3 linked regions of the Anolis sagrei genome follow. The protein of the gene in region 1 interacts with the protein of each later gene in a biochemical or structural test. Links are inferred from orthologs where the notes say so. Each region holds a gene or a part of one and is shown in the gene's direction. Other genes may lie near its edges.

What was found.
Region 2: the proteins of HDAC3 (region 1) and NR2C1 form a complex in vitro, tested with the Homo sapiens proteins (4 studies listed by BioGRID). The link is inferred for Anolis sagrei from reciprocal best matches to the Homo sapiens genes HDAC3 and NR2C1.
Region 3: the proteins of HDAC3 (region 1) and general transcription factor II-I form a complex in vitro, tested with the Homo sapiens proteins (2 studies listed by BioGRID). The link is inferred for Anolis sagrei from reciprocal best matches to the Homo sapiens genes HDAC3 and GTF2I.

What each region holds. Positions count from the first base shown.
Region 1 is NC_090024.1:135,122,926-135,126,678, forward strand, and holds the start of HDAC3 (histone deacetylase 3), read left to right. Parts: upstream 1-1,561; 5' UTR 1,562-1,634; coding exon 1,635-1,689; intron 1,690-3,753. UniProt on the Homo sapiens protein: Histone deacetylase that catalyzes the deacetylation of lysine residues on the N-terminal part of the core histones (H2A, H2B, H3 and H4), and some other non-histone substrates.
Region 2 is NC_090025.1:155,091,664-155,095,416, reverse strand, and holds the start of NR2C1 (nuclear receptor subfamily 2 group C member 1), read left to right. Parts: upstream 1-1,485; 5' UTR 1,486-1,807; intron 1,808-3,753. UniProt on the Homo sapiens protein: Orphan nuclear receptor. Binds the IR7 element in the promoter of its own gene in an autoregulatory negative feedback mechanism. Primarily repressor of a broad range of genes.
Region 3 is NC_090031.1:29,915,671-29,919,423, forward strand, and holds the start of general transcription factor II-I, read left to right. Parts: upstream 1-1,317; 5' UTR 1,318-1,459; exon of another isoform or gene 1,460-1,529; intron 1,530-3,753. UniProt on the Homo sapiens protein: Interacts with the basal transcription machinery by coordinating the formation of a multiprotein complex at the C-FOS promoter, and linking specific signal responsive activator complexes.

The sequences.
Region 1 (3,753 bases):
ATTCAACACCTTAATGTAAAGTTAAATTAAAAATGTATATAGAGGATCCTATAAGACTGTAGACAAGGAAGAAGTGGATGCAAAGTAAGAATCTATGATATCTTTTTATGTAATATTTAGATAGTAGACTGTGACCCCTTAATAGAAATATACTATGAGATAAAGGAATATAGAACATTAATAGATGGCGAGTATTGCACTGTATGCAACAAACATTTGCAAATGTATGTTTTCTTAAATAAAATTAAATAAAAATGGAAAAAAAATCTAACAAAATTTAAAAGCAATTTAAAACAATTTAAAAACAGCAATATCAAACATTAAAAGCCTGTCGAAATAGGTATGTCTTACATGCCCTGCGGAAAGCTGGTAAGTCCCACAAGGCACGGACTTCAGGTGGCAGAGTATTCCAGAGTGATGGTGCCACTGCTGTGAAGTCTCTGCGTCTGGTTGCTGTTAGATGCAAGGTCTTGACACTGGGGACTTCCAATAGATCTTGGTCCTCAGAACGGAGGGATCTCTGGAGTTGGTAGGGGGTGAGGCGGTCCCTCAGGTACATCGGCCCCAGACCATGCAAGGCCTTAAAAATGAATACCATCACTTTGAAAGTGATCTGGTGCTCAATTGGTAACCAATGCAGCTGTAGTAAGATTGGTGTTATGTGGCATCTCATCGGAATTCCCGCAAGAAGCCGAGCAGCAGCATTTTGTACCAACTTGAGCTTCCGGATCACCGGCAGAGGAAGGCCAATGTAGAGGCCGTTACAGTAGTCCAGTCTTGAGATGACCGTGGCCTGGATCACCGTAGCTAGGTCGTCCCTGGACAGGTAGGGGGCCAGCCGTCTAGCCTGCCGCAGATGAAAAAATGCAGTTCTGCTAACAGCAGAGACCTGGGCCCCCATCGTCAGCAGAGGTTCCAAAAGGACTCCCAGACTCTTTACCAATGATGATGGGCCAGTTATCAATCATTCTGGTTGCCAGAATCTTGGTTTTTTTTTAATGTTTAGCTGCAACCCAGTTTTTGCACTTCCTTCTTTCACCTTGATTACAAGGCTCCTCAGCTCTTCGCTTTCGACCATCAAAGTGGTATCATCTGCATATCTAAGGTTGTTTATGTTTCTACCAGCAATTTTTACCCCAGCCTTACATTCATCAAGCCCTGCACATCACATGATGTGTTCTGAATACAAGTTTAATAGGTTGGGTGAGATTAATTGTATTAGATAGATTTAATATTTTAATCTTTTTTCATTCTTTTGCATTTTATCAATTGTAGTTGTAATTGATCCATTTTGTAATGAATATTTTGTAAATAAAAGCACTCCTGGTTTCCATTTCCCTATGCAGAGACTTGGGGAAGGTTTATTTAAACAAGGAGCCCCAACAATCAATGTCAACACTTCAGAAGCCCAAAGAAGGGATCCTGACGTAAAACGAAAAGAGACGAATGCTGACATTTGCCTGGGCCGCTGGTCAAATATCGCGAGAGTTTGCTGAGACTCGAGTAAGCACCCGCCCCCAAAAGGCGGGCGAGAGAGCGCACTCTCCTCTGTCACTGCCTGCGTAATGACGTAGGACGCTGTGGGCGGGGCTACGCGGCCCGTGGGGCGTCCGTTACTCGGGCGGGCGGGCGGCATGGCGAAGACGGTGGCCTACTTCTACGACCCTGATGTAGGCAACTTCCACTACGGTGCGTGCGCGCGCGCGGAGGCAGAGTGACGTTGGGCCTTTGAGGAGCGGGGGGGCTCCTGGCCGGAAAAGGCCCCCCGTGGCTTCTTAGGAAGAGAAACCATTCTTCCAGGAGGAGGGGCGGGGGGCTTCAAGAGGCTTCAAGAGGGAAACTTGTGGAAAGATATTTTCCTTACCGAGGTTTACTGTGTGCCCTCCCCACTCCCTGGATGCTGCACTTGGGTACCAAGGCCCTGAGGCGGAAGGCCTTGCCCTGGGAATGCTGCTGAATGTACTGAATGCACTTTGAGACCACTTTTAGGGTCTTTTTACAAGGTCTTGGGCCTTCTCTGCCCAAACTATGACTCCCAGGATGCCATATAATAATATAATGTAGTATAATATATTGTATATACATATAATATTTATAACTAGCTGTCCCCTGCCACGCGTTGCTGTGGCCCACATGGGAGTTCTGTGTGGGAAGTTCAACCCAATTCTATCGTTGGTGGGTTTCAGAATGCTCCGTGATTGAAGGTGAACTGTAAATCCCAGCAACTACAACTCCCAAATTTCAAGATTCTATTTTCCCCAAACTCCACCAGTGTTCACATTTGAGCATATTGAGTGTTCGTGTAGAGCAGTGGTTCTTAACCTTCCTAATGCCGTGACCCCTTAATACAGTCCCTCATGTTGTGGTGACCCCCAACCACAATATTGTTTTTGTTGCTCCTTCATAACAGTCATTTTCCTACTGTTATAAATCATAATGTAAATATCAGATATGCAAGATGTATTTTCATTCACTGGACCAAACTGGGCACCCACATGTAAATGCTAGTGGGGTTGGGGGAGGATTGATTTTGTAATTTGGGAGTTGTAGTTGCTGGGATTTATAGTTCACCTATAACCAAAGAGCATTCTGAACTCCACAAATGATGGATTTGAACCTAATTTGCCACACAGAACTCCCATGACCAACAGAAAACACTGGAAGGGTTTGGTGGGTATTGACCTTGAGTTTGGGAGTTGTAGTTCACCTATATCCAGAGAGCACTGTGGACTCACGCAATGGTGGATCTGGACCAAACTTGGCACAAATACTCAATATGCACAAATGTGAACACTGGTGGAGCCTGGGGAAAATAGACCTTGACTTTTGGGAGTTGTAGTTGCTGGGATTTATAGTTCATTACAAACAAAGAATATTCTGAACTCCACCAACGATAAAATTGGCTCAAACTTCCTATATGGAATCCCCATGACCATCAGAAAATACTGTGTTTTCTGATGGTCTTTGGTGACCCCTCTGACACCCCTTCGCGACCCCCTCAGGGGTTCCGACCCCCAGGTTGAGAAACACTGGTGTAGAGTTTGGTCCTGATCCATCATTGTTTGAGTCCACAGTGATCTCTGGATGTAGGTGAACTACAACTACAACTCCAAAACCAAAGGACACTGCCCACCAAACGCTTCCAGTATCTTCTGTTGGTTATGGAACTGTGTGCCAAGTTTGGTTCAATTCCATCGTTGGTGGTGTTCAGAATGCTCTTTGATTGTAGGTAAACTATACATCCCAGCAACTTATATTGCAATATAATGGTATAGTGCAATATAGTAATATATGCTGATATTGTACTATGCTAATAATATAATGTATGAAAATATATATTGTAAGCCGCTCTGAGTCCCCTTCGGGTGACATATAAATGCCATAAATAAATAAATAAACTACAACTCCCAAATGACAACATCAATTTTTTGAGTGAAGGACATAAATTGGGTTGTTAGGTCTATCATGTCCAAATTTGGTGTCAATTTCCCCAGTGGTTTATGAGTTCTGTGAATACCACAAACGAACATTACATTTTTATTTATATAGATATTTCTAGCCGTCCCCTGCCACGCGTTGCTGTGGTCCAGTCTGGTGATCTGGAAAATAAAGTCATGAGAAAGTGTTGGTTTCTAATATATGTAATTTCTTTATGCTTGTGGGTAAACAGTATTTCGTGATGTTTCTTTGTCAGTGTTGATGTGGAGAGTGTCTGGTTTGCCTACTCTGAAATATGCAGCATATCATAGTCCA
Region 2 (3,753 bases), on another chromosome or scaffold:
AGATTGGTCATTGCTCTCCTCCCAAGAATTAAATGTCTTCTGATTTCCTGGCTGGAGTCTGCGCCTGCAGTAATCTTTGCACCTGGAAATACAAAGTCTGTCATTGCCTCCACGTTTTCTCCCTCTATTTGCCTCCAGCAGATGGTATTATTATTATTTTATTATTAATATTAATGTTACAGATGGCCTGCAGGGTCTCTCTCAAATCTGTAATTCTAAGTAAGGAGATACACACACACTTAGGCGATCCCTCGTTGTCCGAGTAGGATTGTCTTCCAAGATCGGTGTACTGATGGTGGGTCCATAGGTGATTGTGGAGCCCTATTCTTGTTCTGCATGTTCTCCCACAGTGAGGGCATTGGTTTGCAGGTGGAAGCCGGTCCTGATTGGGGTTGGCTTTACACGCCTTCCTCTTGGCACGTTTCTCTTTCGCCCTCCATTCATGCCTCTTCAAATTCTACAGCACTGCTGGTCACAGCTGACCTCCAGCTGGAGCGCTCAAGGTCCAGAGCTTCCCAGTTCTCAGTGTCTATGCCAGAGTTTTTACGGTTGGTTTTGAGCCCATCTTTAAATCTCTTTTCCTGCCCGCCAACATTCCGTTTTCTGTTCTTGAGTCGGAGTAGAGCAACTGCTTTGGGAGACAGTGGTCCAGAAAAAATGGCTGGTCCAGCGGAGTTGATGGCGGAGCACCATCACTTCAATTCTGGTGGTCTTTGCTTCTTCCTGCACGCTGACATTTGTTCACCTGAGATTTGTAGGATTTTTCAGAGGCAGTGCTGATGGAATCGTTCTAGGAGTTGCATGTGATGTCTGTAGACAGTCCATGTTTTGCAGGCGTATAGCAGGGTTGGCAGGACAATAGCTTTATAAACAAGCACCTTGGTATCACTATGGATGTCCTGGTCCTTAAACACTCTGTGCTTCATTTGGAAAAATGCTGCACTCACAGAGCTCAGGCAGTGTTGAATTTCAGTGTCAATGTTGACTTTTGTGGAAAGGTGGCTGCCAATGTAGTGGAAATGGTCAACATTTTCTAATGTTACACCATTAAGTTGTATTTCTGGCATTGGAGAGGGATTGGCTGGTGACTGCTGGAATAGCACTTTGGTTTTCTCGGTGTTTAATGAGCTTTATAAACAAGCACCTTGGCATTCCTATGGATGTTCCGGCCCTCAAACACTCTGCACTCGCAGAGCTTAGGCGGTGTTGAATTTCAGTGTCAGTGTTGACACTGAAATACAACACATACACACAAACATACACATCCCATCACACACACAAACATGTTGGAGAAAACAGCCCATCTAAAAGCATCACTGGCTGATAGGGGTTTTTGGCCCAGTCCTTGAAAAGGCCCACCAATAGCAGGAGGTTATAGCAGGAGGTTGTGGAGAGAGAGAAGATAAAAGAGAGGCTCACCGTCGCGCATGCGCAGAAGACGCTTAACCTGACCCTGAGGTAGACCATTCAAAAGGCTGTTCCCTTCCCCCGTTACTACTCCCCCCTCCGTCGCCATGACGACGCGCCTGGCTCTTCTCCCTTCTCTTCCCCTTCCCTTCTTCCCCCGCCGTGCGTGCGGCACGGTGACACTCGCTCCGCCTCCGCCATGGGCTCGCTTTGCGCAAGCGCAACCGGGCCTTGAAGCGGCGGCGGTTGTGGCGGCGGCTGAGGGGACGGAAGGAGGGAGGGGCGCCGAGAGGAGAACGTGAGCGTAGGCCGCGCGAGGCGGGGCCGGGGTCACGACCTCTGACCTCCCGCCGCCGTCAAATAAGCCCTGAGGGGGCTGCGGATGCGTCGCGCCTGTCAGGTCAGTCGGGGGCGGGGGAACGGGAGGAGGAGGAGGAAGGAAGGAGCTGGGGCGGACGGGCGAGGCCTTCCCAGGCCCTTCTTGCCTTCCTTGAGGGAGCCTCCCGAAAATGGAAGGAGGGGAGGAAGGGCGGGAGGAAGGGCGTCCTGGGCGCCGTGCTCCGCTCAGCCTCGCAATGGCAGCCGAGCAGCCGCCGCCCCCCTGACCTTTCACCCACAGGAAAGGCTTGCGTCTCCCCTCCCCGGATCCAGGCCGCGCCCCGAGGCCCGCGCCTCTCTCTCCGCAGCCCAGCCGGGCTTCCTGGGCAGGGAGGGAGGGACGGAGGGAGGGAGGAAGGGGCGCCGGAGGGGGCGACAGCAGCCATGTTGGGGCCCCTGGGTGACAGCCGAAAGGCGAGAGGGAGGGAGGAAGCAAGGCAGTCTCTGCTTCTTTGCTTCCAAGCTGCACACAAAGAGAATCTCGTGAATACATTGCGCTGTTTTCGCCGTGAACCCTTAGATAATTTATTTATCGTGTCAGGAGCAAACCAAACGGTTGTATTAAAAACAAAGTTTGCAAACTTGGCATTTTATTAAATGTCCTTTTTCAGTAGCTGGCCACATGGAGTGCCTCTGGTGATGCTATAAGAAGGTCTTCCATTGTGCATGTGGCAGGGCTCAGGTTGCATTGTAATAATAATAATAGTAATAATAATAATAATAATAATGAAGCTGACACGATATGAGGATTTAAAGATCAAACTGCAAACACTCTGCCACAAACCAGTAAAGGTGGTCCCTGTGGTGATTGGCACAAACCAGTAAAGGTGGTCCCAGTGCTGATCAGCACACTGGGTGCAGTGCTTAAAAACCTTGGCCTGCACTTAAAACACAGTTGGCGCTGACAAGATTACCATCAGCCAGCTGCAAAAGGCAACCTTACTGGGATCTGCACCCATTATTCACTGATACATCACACAGTCCTAGACACTTGAGAACTGCCCAATGTGTAATGCAATACAACAGCCAGCAGAGTGATCATTTTTCCTGTGGACTCATCTAATAATAATAATAATAAGTTTGTATTACCCCCCCCCCCCCTTCGTGGGAAAGCTCAATTCCACAATCCTCCTTTTAATAAGCTCCCCTCCGCAAATAACCTGCTTCTCCTTTTATCTCACCTGTGTTTTTAATCAGTTTTTAAATCATTTTCTCGCACATGTAGCCACCCATTGTCACTGTGACTGTGTTTATTGTAATCTTATATCATTAATGTATTCATATGTTTTATGTAATTATGATGTTGTTTGTTGCATGTGTTTTTGGTTTTAATTCGTTGATTGGGCTTGGCCTCATGTAAGCCACCCCGAGTCCCCATTGGTAAATAAAGTTTATTATTATTATTTATTATTATTGATGTTGTCATACGGGGTGACAGTCAAATTGAGGAAAACTTAACCATTATCAGGACCACAAAATCAAACTGCAAAGGCTCTGGCATAAACCAGCACAGGTGGTCCCAGTAGTCATCGGCACACTGGCTGCCATGCCAAAAGATCTCAGCCAGCATTTGGAAACAATAAATATTGAGAAAATCACAATCTATCAACTGCAAAAGGCCACCTTAGTTGGATCTGCACACATCATTCGAAAATACATCACACAGTCCTAGACGTTTGGGAAGTGTTCGACTTGTATTGTCGAAGGCTTTCATGGCCGGAATCACTGGGTTGTTGTAGGTTTTTTTGGGCTATATGGCCATGGTCTAGAGGCATTTTCTCTTGACATTTCACCTGCATCTATGGCAAGCATCCTCAGAGGTAGTGAGGTATTTGTATCTACTTGTGATACAAAATCCAACATATAGATCTCATTTGCTGTGACATACTGCGATTTTGTGTCAGTAAAATAATAATAATAATCTTTATTTATACCCCGCCACCATCTCCCCAAAGGCGACTCGGGGCG
Region 3 (3,753 bases), on another chromosome or scaffold:
TACTAATAATAATAATAATCATAATCATAATCATAATGATGATGATGTAATTCTATCTTCCTGCTTGGTAGGAATAATAATAATCTATATAAATAAAAATGTACTGTTAGTTTGTGGAATGAACATAACTCAAAAACCACTGGACAAATTGACACAAAATTTGGACACAATACACCAATCAGGCCAACAAGTGACCATCACTCATTAAAACACTGGAAAACACAGCAGAAGGGACTTTAAAAGCCAAAAAAACAAAAAAATGCATTACAACACATGCACAAAACCACACACACACATACATATGCAAATATATACACATACAAAGTGCATATACACAGACTTTTTTTCCCACAGTAATGTGTGGCAGGGGGTGGCTAGTAATATAGTAAAAATATAGTAAGATAGTAATTCTATCTTCCTGTCTGGCAGGAATAAATCATCATCATCACAAAGTATTCATTAAAATATTCACACAAATATAAAAAATTCACAAAAATATTCATTAAACTAATGAAATAATGTTCACAAAAATATAAAATATTCACAAAAATATTCACAAAAATATTCATTAAACTAATCAAATAATATGCACAAAATATAAAATATTCTCAAAAATATTCAGAAAAATATATAATATGTAATATTCTCAAAAATATAAAACATTCTCAAAAATATTCAGAAAAATATTCATTAAACTAATCAAATAATATTCATGAAAATTTAAACTATTTTATACACACACACACACATATATATATATATATTGATTTGGTTTTAGGGAAATGAGACAATGTTTCGTACCTTTACAAGTCACTAAATGGGAAAACAACCCTACAGAGCTGTAGTTTGGCAAAGGAAGCAAAAGCCCTTGCAAAACTGCACCTCCCAGGCTCCCTTAGCATTGGGCTGCGGCAGAGATGCCCTTTAGTTAGTTACAGAGCTGTATGGGATTCTGGGAGTTGTAGTCTTGGCCAGAGGAGGCCTTGCAAAACTACAATTCCAAGGATATTAGTATTAGTGTCAATGGCAGGTGAAGTTCTAATGGGAAGGTGGCTTTGCCGCCCTCTTGCGGCCAGGGGAATATTGCACTCTGCTTGAGATTGTGCGCTGCCATCGCGTGGACAGAGTGGGAAAGCGCACCTTCATATTCTCTCCCTATTCCCGCAGCGGAGATGCAGCGCCGCGGGGTTTCCTGGGAAGCGTAGTTCCGTTTGCCTTTCCCCAGACGCGAGTAGGCGGCAAAGGGACTACATCACCCAGAGAGAGTAGCGGCGCGGCTGTTGCGCACGCGCAGTGTGAGCCAAAGCGAGCGAGAGAGTGTGAGGGGGAAAACGCGCATGCGCAGTGCGAAAGCGAGCGAGCCCGAGCGAAGGGGGGAAAAGAAGGCTCTCCCACATCTCGGTCCGGGGTTCCGTTCGAGGCGGAAGAGGAAGCGGAAGAGGAAGGCCCGAGGCTGGAGGTGAGCGAGCAGGCCTCGGCGGAGGAGGAGGCCGGAGAAAGGGTTAGGCTTCGTTTCCCGAGAAAGAGAGGTAGGCCTCGCCCCCACACAAAGGCCTGGTAGGCCTTTCCCGTTTGGCACGGAGCGCGAAGGGAGGAGGATTGGGCCTCTCAGGCTTCCGTCGCCACTGGCTTGTTGTGAGTGTTCCAGCTTTCCAGAAGTATTCTCTCCTGACATTTCGCCTCCATCTCTGGCAGGCATCCTCAGAAATTGTGAGATCTGTTGGAAACTAGGAAAATTGGGTTTATATATCTGTGGAATAATGTCCAGGATGGGAGAAAGCACTCAGGTAGTTGCCAATGTTGCAATTAGCATTGAATGGCCTCGCAGTTTCAAAATCTGGCTTCTTACTGCGTGGGGGAATGTTGCAATGGGCCACCTTGATTAGCATTGAATGGCCTTGCACCATCAAAGCCTGGCTGATTGCTGCCTGGGGGAATCCTTGGTTGGGAGGTGTTAGCATTGAATGGCCTCGCAGTTTCAAAATCTGGCTTCTTACTGCGTGGGGGAATGTTGCAATGGGCCACCTTGATTAGCATTGAATGGCCTCGCAGCATCAAAGTCTGTCTGATTGCTGCCTGGGGGAATCCTTGGTTGGGAGGTGTTAGCATTGAATGGCCTCGCAGTTTCAAAATCTGGCTTCTTACTGCTTGGGGGAATCCTTTGTTGGGAGGTGATTGGCTGGCCCTGATTGAGAGACATGAAAGAAGCTTCCCACAAGGATGGTAAAACATCAAAACATCCAGGTGCCCCCTGGGCAACGTCCTTGCAGATGGCCAATTCTCTCACACCAGTAGCGACTTGCAGTTTCTCAAGTCACTCCTGACACGACAAAAAAAAGTGCTTCAATGGGAAATGGTGGCCTGCTTTTGGCTGATGAGATAGGATTGTTGTTGTTGTGTGCTTTCAAGTCATTTCAGACTTAGGTTGACCCTGAGCGAGGGCCGGGTAGAGGACCTTGGAGGGCCGTAGTTTGAGGACCCCTGATTTATGGCATATATATCCCGCTCTTCCACTACTATTATTGATGAGACGAAGAACAACCATGCTCGTGGCTATTATTACTGCGTCTCCCTGGAGTCTTTTCTCAGGCCCTCCTCTCTCTCACCATCCTATCTTTCTTTCCTTCCTCCATCCCTCCTTTCCTTACCTCTCTCTTTCTCCCTCCCTCTTTCCTCCCTCTCTCCTTCTTTCTTCTTCCTTCCCTTTTGTCTTTCCTTCTCTCTTTATTTATTTATGTACGACATTTATATGCCGCCCTTCTCACCCCGAAGGGTACTCAGAGCGGCTTACAAGTAAAAAGTAAATAAATATATTATTATCATAGCACAACATTAATATTATATATTACTATATTGTACTATAACATTATACTGTAATATTATTAGTAATGTTACATTTAATATAAAATATATAATTATAATATCATTTAATTATTAGTAGTAATATATTGTATTACATTATAATATTATCAATATTATATGTATATATTATATTACATTACATTAGATCATATTATAAGCACAGTGCAAGAGACAAGATTGGACTGCCTTCCTGGCCCCTCTCTCTCCTTCCTTCCTTCCTTCCTTCCTTCCTATAAATCCCAGCAACTACAACTCCCAAATGTATATAAATAAAAATGTAATGTTTGTTTGTAGGATTAACAGAACTCAAAAACCACTGGACGAATTGACACCAAATTGGGACACAAAGCACGTATCAGGCCAACAAGTGACCATCACACTGGAAAACACAGCAGAAGAGACTTTAAAAGCAAAAAAAAAAAAAGAAAATACATTGCAACGCATGCGCAAAACTACATATATACATGTATATACACAAATACACACACATATATACATGCAAAACACACAGAAAGGGGGCAGGAAGGAAGGAGAGAAAGAGGGAGAGAGAGAAGATAAGAAAGAAAGGTAGAGAAGGAAGGAAGGAGAGAAGGAATGAAAGAGAGAAAGAGGGAAAGAAGGAAAGAGACAAGGAAGGATGTCACCAAAGAGCAAAGGAAGTGAGAAAAGAAACAAGTAGAGAAGGAAGAAAGAAGAAGGGAAAGAGGAAGGGAAAGAAAAAGAGGGAAGGAAGGAAGGACGAAAGGGTGGAAGGGAAGGAGGGAGGGAAGGAGAAAGAGGGAGGTAAAGAAGGGAGGAAAGAGAGAGGGAAGGGAGGGAGGGAAGAAGAGAAGGATGGAAGGGAATGGAGGGAGGGAGGGAGAGAAGGGGCAGAGGAAAGAAAGAAGGAAG